Linked DNA regions of Tribolium castaneum. The protein of the gene in region 2 interacts with the protein of the main gene of each other region in a pairwise test. Links are inferred from orthologs where the notes say so. Each region holds a gene or a part of one and is shown on either strand. Other genes may lie near its edges.

The links.
Region 1: the proteins of golgin subfamily A member 2 (region 2) and CycH interact in binary tests that used the Homo sapiens proteins (3 or more experiments, as listed by UniProt). The link is inferred for Tribolium castaneum from reciprocal best matches to the Homo sapiens genes GOLGA2 and CCNH.

The regions. Positions count from the first base shown.
Region 1 is NC_087396.1:24,076,841-24,081,417, reverse strand, and holds CycH (cyclin-H), read left to right. Parts: upstream 1-1,855; 5' UTR 1,856-1,940; coding exon 1,941-2,057; intron 2,058-2,104; coding exon 2,105-2,301; intron 2,302-2,352; coding exon 2,353-2,554; intron 2,555-2,864; coding exon 2,865-3,211; intron 3,212-3,259; coding exon 3,260-3,389; 3' UTR 3,390-3,436; downstream 3,437-4,577. UniProt on the Homo sapiens protein: Regulates CDK7, the catalytic subunit of the CDK-activating kinase (CAK) enzymatic complex. CAK activates the cyclin-associated kinases CDK1, CDK2, CDK4 and CDK6 by threonine phosphorylation.
Region 2 is NC_087398.1:3,528,345-3,533,876, forward strand, and holds golgin subfamily A member 2, read right to left. Parts: upstream 3,156-5,532; 5' UTR 3,101-3,155; coding exon 3,038-3,100; intron 2,914-3,037; coding exon 1,234-2,913; intron 1,184-1,233; coding exon 245-1,183; 3' UTR 182-244; downstream 1-181. Other genes in the region: PIG-A (phosphatidylinositol N-acetylglucosaminyltransferase subunit A), read right to left, coding at 4,137-4,287, 4,339-4,608, 4,661-4,828, 4,882-5,011, 5,066-5,300, 5,348-5,532. UniProt on the Homo sapiens protein: Peripheral membrane component of the cis-Golgi stack that acts as a membrane skeleton that maintains the structure of the Golgi apparatus, and as a vesicle thether that facilitates vesicle fusion to the Golgi membrane.

The DNA.
Region 1 (4,577 bases), on a different chromosome or scaffold from region 2:
ACGTCTCTATGCTTGATTTTCGAACATCATGTGAGTGGTACCCAAGGTACCGCCCATACCTCCGGCGATGTGGTAGAGACGGCCATGTTATCGGGGCCGTAGGGGCCACAACCGGTCTTACATTTACTTTTGCATCGTAAACAGCAACTGCTGTTCACTTCTTGTGGCGAAAAAAACGCACACAACTGCGAGAATCGTATCATTACGAACAGGGAATTCGACGTTTTTGCTCCCACATTGCGTGAACGATTTTTTCATTCCCAGAGATTTATTCCGGCAAATCTATACACAAGAAAGACGAATTTTCAACTGAAAATTGGTAAATTTCAGATCAGATTGGTTGGCATCTAATGTATTTTCTGACAAATTTAAAATTCATTACCATTTTTTAATCGAATTTAAATTCTCTGTTACCAATACAAGTCTCCAACAAGTACAGTTAAATATTATTATAAAAAATATTTATAAAACTTATTGAAATTGGGTGTAAACTGTATTTGTTCTAAAAATACAAAGCCAACTTGATTTTTTTTAATGTATTTTTTATAAAGAGCATTTTTGTGCTATGGTATAACACCTGCATACCTTATTTTAGTCGAAACTTAAAAAAATACCGAACAAATAAAATTTGGAAAAATATAACATTTTTTTAGTTTATTGTTAGAGCTCTGCCGCTTGAAATTTGATCAAATAATAAGTATAAGTTAATACTATAATTGTTAAAAAACACTTTTAACTGAAGAAGAACACATTTTAATAAAAAAATGTTTAAACACGAAATACATGATTTTTATGTTACAAAAAATGTTCAATATAATTTCCATTGCAATAATGAATACGTTGAACAAAATTTAGCAAAAAATTAATTAAAATATTTTGCGAAATATTGGCAGTTTCGTTTTTTATTCGTTGTAGGTCTTCGATCGCTAAGTATTTTCAAAATTGACTTAGTTTTTTTTCTCTATAAACCTTTATTATTTTTTTTATTATTATTTGTTCAATTTAATTTACAAATTGACATGCATTTGAAGGTTAAACGATAAAAATTTTTTTCTTTTAAACTTGAAATCTTGCTACAGAAAAAAATGTTATATTACATTATATACACGACGATAAAGATTGTTCATCTGCTCATAAAATAAGTAATCAATCTCATTATCGTCTTGTATAATAAATAACTATAATCTTTATATTGTTAATATTGTAATTATTAATTTTTTCCAAGCAATAATGGATATTGAACGAATTTTAAAAATTGCGTAAAAAACCGTTTGTGTTTTAATGAAATTTTGTGCAGAACATCGAGACATTTTTTTTATATGGCGCATATTGTTTGAGACCATGAACTAGATCCTAAATAATGACACAAAGAAATATATTTTTAAACATAAAAATACTTTTAACGACGCTGTTAGATATCTCTTCACTATAAGCAATTAACTATTTCCATAAACAAGTTGTAAACATATATGACAGTTATTACAACTTAAGTAAACATATTATTTTTTACTTTTACTACGTAGCAAAAATGGAAATTTTGTCCCAACAAAAGCCCAGTCGAATCTAACGTACTTGAATTTTAACAACGGTTATTTTTGCTCATTATTGTGTAGGTGTAGATTAATTATTGAAAATCCCACCTTAATACTACCGACTTTGACATTTGTTTGCCATCTAGTAGGCGAGTACAAAACTAGAAACAACAATTTTAATTTTAATTAAATAAAAGTAACGCAGCTAATTACCATATGATACCAAAATTTCTACGTTTTTAATTTTTTTGTAAAATTTTCAAATACATTATATAAAAAATTTAGATTACAGTTTTCTTTAAATAAAGTGTTACAAATTTGCGAGAGAGGTCGGCACGTTGCGTGACAGCCGTCATGTGTCAAACTAGCACGTAACCTAACTAAACAAATTTCAAAATCGCTCAAAATATGTTTTCCACGAGCACGCAGTGTAAAAATTGGATGTTTAACAGCGAAGATGAGTTAAATAAATTACGCGAAGCTGCGAATTTGAAGCATATCCAAGCCTACGGCCGCCACATCAATGTAAGTTTTTCGTGAGTGTTTCACGTTTTTTGAGTTTGTTGGTGCAGGAAGCCGCTCGTTTCGAGTTTTTTCTCACTGCCGAGGAGGAAAAGATAATGGTGAAACGTTACGAAATCCGATTACGCGATTTTTGTAAACGGTTTCAACCTCCGATGACGCGGTGTGTGATCGGGACTGCGTTCCATTATTTCAAGCGTTTTTACATTCACAATTCGGTAATGAACCACCATCCTAAGGAGATAATGTGAGGGGGAGGGATTTGTGTGTTGGTTTATTTTGACTGTGTTTATTAAAGGGTCACGTGTATTTATTTAGCGTGTAAGGTTGAAGAGTTCAATGTTTCCATTCAGCAATTTGTTGCCAATCTCAAAGGCGACAGGGAGAAGGCCACTGATATTATTTTGAACAACGAGTTGTTGCTGATGGAGCAGCTGAATTTCCAGTTGTCGATTCACAATCCGTTCAGGCCAGTGGAGGGACTACTAATTGATATTAAAGTTGGTTCAAGTACCTTGAAAGACTAATTCTAGGAGGCGAGACGGCGCTTTTTACGCTTTTTTGCCCCAAAAACTTCACTCATTTCACCAAGAATTACCAGTGAATTATACCAGCTTTTCAAGAGATGTAAAATTTTGATTTTTTTTGCTTAAAATTTTATGAAAATGAAAATTTTTTTCTTAAACTCTCTCTAGTAAAGTTTTGTGGACTTTTCTATACGTTCACGACTTCCGACCCGAAGTAAAAAATTCGTTTCGCCTCTTAGTTTTATTTCTTCATCGAATTTGATTTCCATTTAATTGTTTTTAGACTAGATGTGCATTAAATGATCCTGAACGTTTAAGGCCTGGAACTGAACATTTTCTCGAGAGAGCATTTTTAACAGACGTTGTGTTATTGTATTCTCCGAGTCAAGTGGCACTAGCTGCTGTTTTACACGCAGCCTCAAAATTGCAAGAAAATTTAGATTCTTACGTCACTGATACACTATTTGGGGTTGAGGGAAGTGGCAAATTGGCTGAATTAATTGAAGCCGTGCGAGCTATCCGATCTATTGTTAAAATGGTCGACGCTACGCCTGATAAAAATCAACAGAAACTTTTAGACAAGAAATTGGAGAAGTGTAGGAATCCTGAAAATAATCCCGATAGTGAAATGTACATCTCCTCCAAATTTTTATTCTTGGGTTAATTGTTACGTTCCAGATATAAGAAACGAATGCAGGCTTTGCTGGACGAAGATGACGATTTGTATCACCGTATTTCGACAAGGACTGATTCTTTGGATAACTCCGCCTTAGGCATGTCAGTGGGTGGTTCACCCGAAGTAGCGTAATATTGTGTACTGTATTTCAATTTTGTGAATAAAAACTATAACTTAAACATTTATTTCCTTGGTACAAAAATGACTTATTACAAATCTTTGGTTGAGTAAATAATTACGAATTTTCGAAATGTCTTCCGAAATTTTGAAGCTGCATCATTGGTGAGTTTTCATTCTGGTGATGTTCCGGAAAGCTGACGTAGTTTGGAACACACTGTCTAGGCACCAGGGGTGTGGTGGGCGGCGGTGGTAACATGCTGGGCACTGAGGGCACACTAGAGAGCCCGGGTTGGCCAGGATAGTTGAAAAACCTAAAAGTTGTTAGCACAAAATACGAAATTAAAAAACATCAAATAAAGCAACTTTTCATTTATTACAAAAAAAAAGAAGTGAATAAATACCATAATCTGTCTCCCAGAAAAATAGGCCTTGGGGTGAGAATCCCCATCGAGGTGTAATATTGCTGTGCTAGAAGTTCGACATCGTTCGTATATTTCCTCTTCCACTTGGTTCTCCGATTTTGGAACCAGATCTTGATTTGCGTCTCCGTTAATTTGAGCGTCTTGGAGAGTTGGCACCTCTTCGCCACCGACAGATATTTGTTCCGTTCAAATTCCGCCTCCAGAGATTTAATCTGTGAGGCTGTGAAGGCCGTCCTCGGCCTCTTCTTCCTCTCATCGTCCGATCTGTTGTCGCCACACTCTAAAAAGCACGAACCCAACACCAAACAGTTGTTTTTAATTTGCCGTGGCGAAATTTATGTTTTAAATGTCGAGTGGGAAGTGCAGACACGTTAAGAAGACGCTAATTTGCGCCAGAGACAGAATTAGATTTTAAACAGCTAACGATCTGGAAAGCGCTGAAAAATGACACGAAAAAACAAACACGCCGCTATCTTGCGCCCATATATTACGGGGAAACATGACTGCAGGCCTTAAATATTGGCTGATTTAAGGACGGTTTCGTGTGCGACGATTAGTGACATTAATTTCTGTTATAAACGACATTTAAGAAGCCTTTGGTGCTAAATTCAATTTACCAGGACTGCGGGATGTTTTAAATAAATTTATGACACTTGCTGCAGTATTTACAGCGGTTTAATTAGCCTGCCACCAAAACCACATTGTTACAAATCGGCAAACATTGGGATTTTTATTTAATTAATAAAATAATTTGGAATTAATTAATCGTCTGCATATA
Region 2 (5,532 bases):
TGAAGTACGAGTAGTTTCGAACTACAGCGCCAGTTCGGATTCAGTTTTCATAGTCTGATCAATGTATATTTGTCAGTTCGTGTTTACTATTAAGAATCTATGAATAAACTTAATATATTCTGATATGAAAAATCAGAGCGCGTTTCTCATTTCTTAACTATTCCCAGTCAACACACACGAGTGCAGTTATGTAATAAACTTTAATCAAGCTATTTAAAATAACAATATAATCACAATATCCCATTTACACCGTAATAAGTTGGCCCGAACACCACGGACAATGATGTATATTCTCAGCCGGTTGTACCAAGTTACTGGTTTTAATCTCCGACAGGAGTGCGATTATTTCTTCTGCTGTTTCGGTACTTTGAGTATCACTCGGTTCGACTGTGAACGTATTCTGCGCGATTTTATTGATTTCGTTACTGATTTTCGCGTGTTCTTCGCATAGATGATTGTCGTGGTGATGTTCCAGCAATTCGGACGGAACGGCTCCTTTTTCAAGGACCAGCTTTTTCACCAATTCGTTCAATTTGTCTAGCTTGGCTTTCATCAATTCGCGGTCATTGGCTAACTGTGACAATTGCTGGTCTTTTTCAATCGCTTTTTGTTTTAATAGACTCCTCTGTTGTTGATAGAGCGCCACATACTCTCCTATCGTCTCGGTCTCACCTTGCAATTGCAACACCAGGTGTTCGAGACGTTGCTTCTCCTCTGTTAAATTGGCAATGTCTTCCATCGTCTTCAAAAATTTCTCTTCCAAATGTTTCATGGCCGCCTCTTTGTCCAAAACAATTCCATTGTGGTTGCTATCAGTGGCATCTTTTGTCTCATTCTCTCGTAACTCTTTTACGTCACTACTACACACTTTCAATTGTTTTATCTCTTCGTTCAGTTTTTCGATAGTTTGATTGGCTTGAAACAGCTCGTTTTGTAACGCTTGTGAACTATGATCCTGTGCCTCGTAATGCCTCAACCTATCGTTCAACTGTTCACTCTGCAGCAACTGTTTGTCGAGCTCGGACGAGTTCTCCCGAAGATGCGACAACTCCTTATCTTTGATTTCAATCGCGTCGGCCAAAGTTTGCAAATGCAGCTCTGTTTTTTGCAATTTTTCGAACAATTCCTTATTGTTGCGCTGCTCGATTGTCAGTTTTTCGGTCAATTCGATTTTGTCATTATTCTGTAACAATAATAATAAAGACAACTCCTTTAAAACCGAGCGTTACTTACCAACTTCATGAAAACTTCCTGCATACTGTCCATCTGATTCTTCAATTCGGTGTTTTGAGACACGGCTCTGGCCGCTGCGACTTTGTCACTTTCCATAATTGCTAATAATTTTCCACTGTCGGGCTGATTGGTCCTCAACTCCTCTACGATCCGCTCCAGCTCACTTATACTCTCTCCTTTGGCTTCCAACTCCTTCAAAAGCAACTCCTTTTCGTTTGCTGCTTTAACATTCTCCTCTTGCAACTCCACGTTTTCGGTTTTGAGTCTCTCGACTAATTCTAGGGCGGCTTCGAGTTCGGCTTTTGTTTCAGTGGTGGGTTTTTGCACGGCAAAGGACACTTGATCGTTCTGCAAATTTTGCAGTTGTTTCTCCAACTCGCCGATGTGTTTAATCCTGTCCTGTTCGCGTATCGCCAGAGATTCGTTCTCCTTCTGAGACGTCTCTAATCGAGTCGCCAGACTCGACAATTGCGCGTTCAACTGTTGGGCATATTGCTGGTACTGTAGACTAGACTCCTCCCTCTCTTTCGATAAAGTTTTAACTGTTTGGCTCAAATCGGCGACTTGTTTCTCAAGAGCGAACTTCTCCTGAGTCAGTTTCTCGATCTCACTGCTGTCTTGATCCCCAGTTGTGAGTTGCTGGATTTTAATATTGGCCATGGACAGTTGATTGGACAACTCCTTGATCTGCTGTTGGAACTCGACGCAACTTTCAGAGCTACTTTTGAGTTTTTCTCGAGCTTCAAGCAAATCCTGGAGCAGTTCCTCTTTTTCATCTTTCACAGACTGGTAGCTCTGTTTCAACTTTTCCAACTCGGAGTTTTGTTCGCGTCCCATGTTGTCGTATTGCGACTTTTCGTTCTTAAGGAGCGCAACTTCACGTTCAAGGTCTGCGACACGTGATCTGGAAGTTTTCAAGCGACCTTGTAACTCCTCGCATTCGGCTGTTTTCTGTTTCGCCGCCAACTGGAATTGGCTGAGATTTGCAACTAATTCGGCCTTTTCCGCCACGAGAATTCCCACAGTTTGGACATGACATTGTAACTCTTCTCGAAGAGTGCTAACTTCGTGCTCTACTCTAGTATCGGTGTTCAATTGTTTGTCTTTAAGCTCGGCCTCTAATTGGCTGAGCTTCGTTTGATATTCTCTCAAACTAGCGTTCAGTTCTTCATTTTTCACCTTTTCCTGATTGAGCAGTTCCGCCAACTCTTGATTCCGAATTTCTAGCGGTGACTCGCCCCCCAGTGGCTCATTTTCAGGGGGGCTTATTAATTCGGCCATTTGGTCCTGCAACTGGCGCAGACTCTCAACTGTGGACAACTGGGGGCGTGGGGAAGGTTTCTGGTCAAATTTGACGCTGTCAAAGGCTTGGAAGTTGGAAATTTCGTCATTTTTATTGTCTTCAGGTACTGAAAACGCGTGGTTTTGGTCACCATTGAGATTATTTGAGGGCGTGATGCACGCGAAAGGGTCGTTATTTTGTGAAAAATTATCGAAAAATGCCGTTGGCTGCTGATAGCCGTTGTTGAAGTTTACATTACTGAAGTAATTTGGAAGTTGCGCTGGTTCATTTGTGAGACCTTCCACAGGTGTCTGCTCGCGACTTGTGGGTGGTGACTCGACAAGTTCGGGTGCTTTCTGGGCAGTGTTCTTCTTTTTTTCCTTTTTTAATTCCTTGAACTAGAAGCAAAACAATGATGTGGCCTAATTGGACTAGGGGGTTTTAAAAAAAGCGTGTGCATTTTCTCATTACCTAGACGTGTTAGAAGCTAAACAAGCGTAAATGGCATTTTTTGGTAATTACCTTTTTTCTAGCAGATGCCAATTTTTGGGCTTTTGACACATCTGCCATATTTTTTGTTGACATGTGTCAAACACGTCACAGTTTAAATGTCATCGAAATAGGGGATTTCATGATGAGGGTTGGTGCAAGAGGTATAAAAGTCGCGTTACGTTGGCAATGGTGCTATTTTCCGGTGAGTTTTTGTCTGGTTCGTTCGTTTACAATGTTTATCCGCAAAAATCTTGCAAAAGAAATGCAATCTACTGATTTTACACAACTAGAAATTAAGAAAATGAAGGTGAGTTATGGATTTGTTATGTTGATTCTAGTATTTTTGCGGTAGTAGCATCATTATGATGATTTTTTTTATAACCTGAATGTCTCTGTTGATTCAAAAACGAGCTTTTTAATACTGACTTTTCCATTAAATTCATTCATTTTTCAACTACGATATGTATTTGTGTTGATTTCTGTGATCTATTTGCAGATTTCGTGAAAATGAAGTGGAAAAAATCATGACACTTAGTGCATTCAGGTGAGTGGCAGTTGTTTTTATTATACTTGCAAAGGTGTACTGATATTATTTGGTTTTTTGTTTTTTAATTGTTACAACTTCATCTAATTTACATTTTGCTCTAGATTGTTCCTAAAGTGAGGCCTGAACAAAAGAGTTGTCAACTACTATGATTCCAGCTTAGGCCTAGACGGTAGGTTGTAATATTTTATTTTGTTTTATAAACTAAATTTTAAATGATGATCAAGTATTTGCTATCTGAGTTACTGTGCAGATAACCTTTACTACCACCAAAAAAGTAAGACTGAGTTGGGAAGCAATTTCTCAACAAAAACCATTGGTTTGAGTTGATATAATGTGTTTAATTTTTTTGCAGTTCATTGACGATGAGGAAAAATCAAACTGTACTACAAAACTCTGAGGTAAGTGTGCATGTTTAATATTTTTGTTTTTTCTATTTATCTACAATGATGTTAAGAATTTCTTCACCTGATAGTTTCATCAACTAACTGAAGACAGTTGACTCTGAGACTTGAACTTATGTTTTAATTATAAGTATGAGAGAAAGACAGTTTGGTAATAAAAAATTTTATTTACAGGACACAACTAATAAATCTTCTCTTTACTTTTTTTCTTATAATTATAATCCTTGGCGATATCGATGTATTCCCTTGGGTATATGTACTCCAAAAACTGCAACATTAGATAACACAAAGAGACCGCCAGTAAAAATGGCCAAACACCACTTGTTTTGTAACTAAAATAAAAACAGAAAAGTTAAATTGAGTATTAATGAGTTCAACCTCACCTCCATAATTGCTCCTGTAATGTTTTATTCCTTTCTTGCATAACTTTCTGATACACGATTTCCGTCCGTTTTGAAACGTTCTCCCAGTTGTAATAATTTTTTATCCTCAAATTACACAAGTACGGACAATTAACTTTGTTATTTTTCAAATCATCAATTGCGGTTTCGAGGGTTTTAATAAGAGAAGGGACGTTTGGTTCAGTCAAGTAAATCAAATCTTCAGGCAACACTTCTGGGATTCCCCCAACTCGGGTCGAAACGACTTGTAATCTATAAAAATTAGCCAAGTTACCAAAGTTTATTGTGACTTTGGGAAGCAAACCCGCATGAAACCGCTTCTACTATAGCCATACAATACGCTTCAGTCAGGGAAGTGTTGAGGAAAATATGCCCTTGGTTTAGTACATTGCGAACAAGGGAATGCTCCAGGCTACCCAAAAGGGTGACCCTATCGTGCAACCCTTGCCTTTCCCGTATTTCCTCAAGCAATCTATGAAATTGATTATGATATTTGAGGCTAAAAAATAGGGTTTTTGTGTTTACCCGCGCTTGGGTCCGTCGCCTGCGATTAAAAAGTTGATTTTATCGTGTTTACTGCACATTTCTGAAATAATTTGGGCCGTCAAATCCACGCCTTTGCGGTAAACTAGTCTTGAAACCACGACTATTGTGACTAAAAAAAACCTTCGTAAATGTTTAATTTTATAATTAGAAGATTTTTTTATACTAAATTCGCTCGATCTTTGGCTGGGATCCGGCATAAATGCACATGTATCAACTGCGTTTGGAATCACAGAAACCCTTTTACTGCTGACTTTTGCCCGCAGCACCGTATTTTCTTTCCCAGTGTGTGAAACACAAATCCAGTGATTGCAATCTGTTAACGACATTTGTAACAATTTATTTGTTATAACCGCACTAGCGTCAGCAAAACCAAACAAACTGTGGTCCGTAAAGACAGTCTGCAAATAAATAAATAATTTTGAATCGTATTGAGAGGGTTGTATACCCTTAATCCCATTAAATTTCCGATTACCAGCGCCTCGTGTGCAAGGGCTGAAAATGCCGAATGGCCGTGAATTATCTCAATTTGTTCCCTTATCAAAATGTTGCGAATTAGGGGCACATTGCATATCATTGTCGGCAGAATCGACTGGTTATAAAACACCCTAATTGGAAGGTAATAGACCTTCA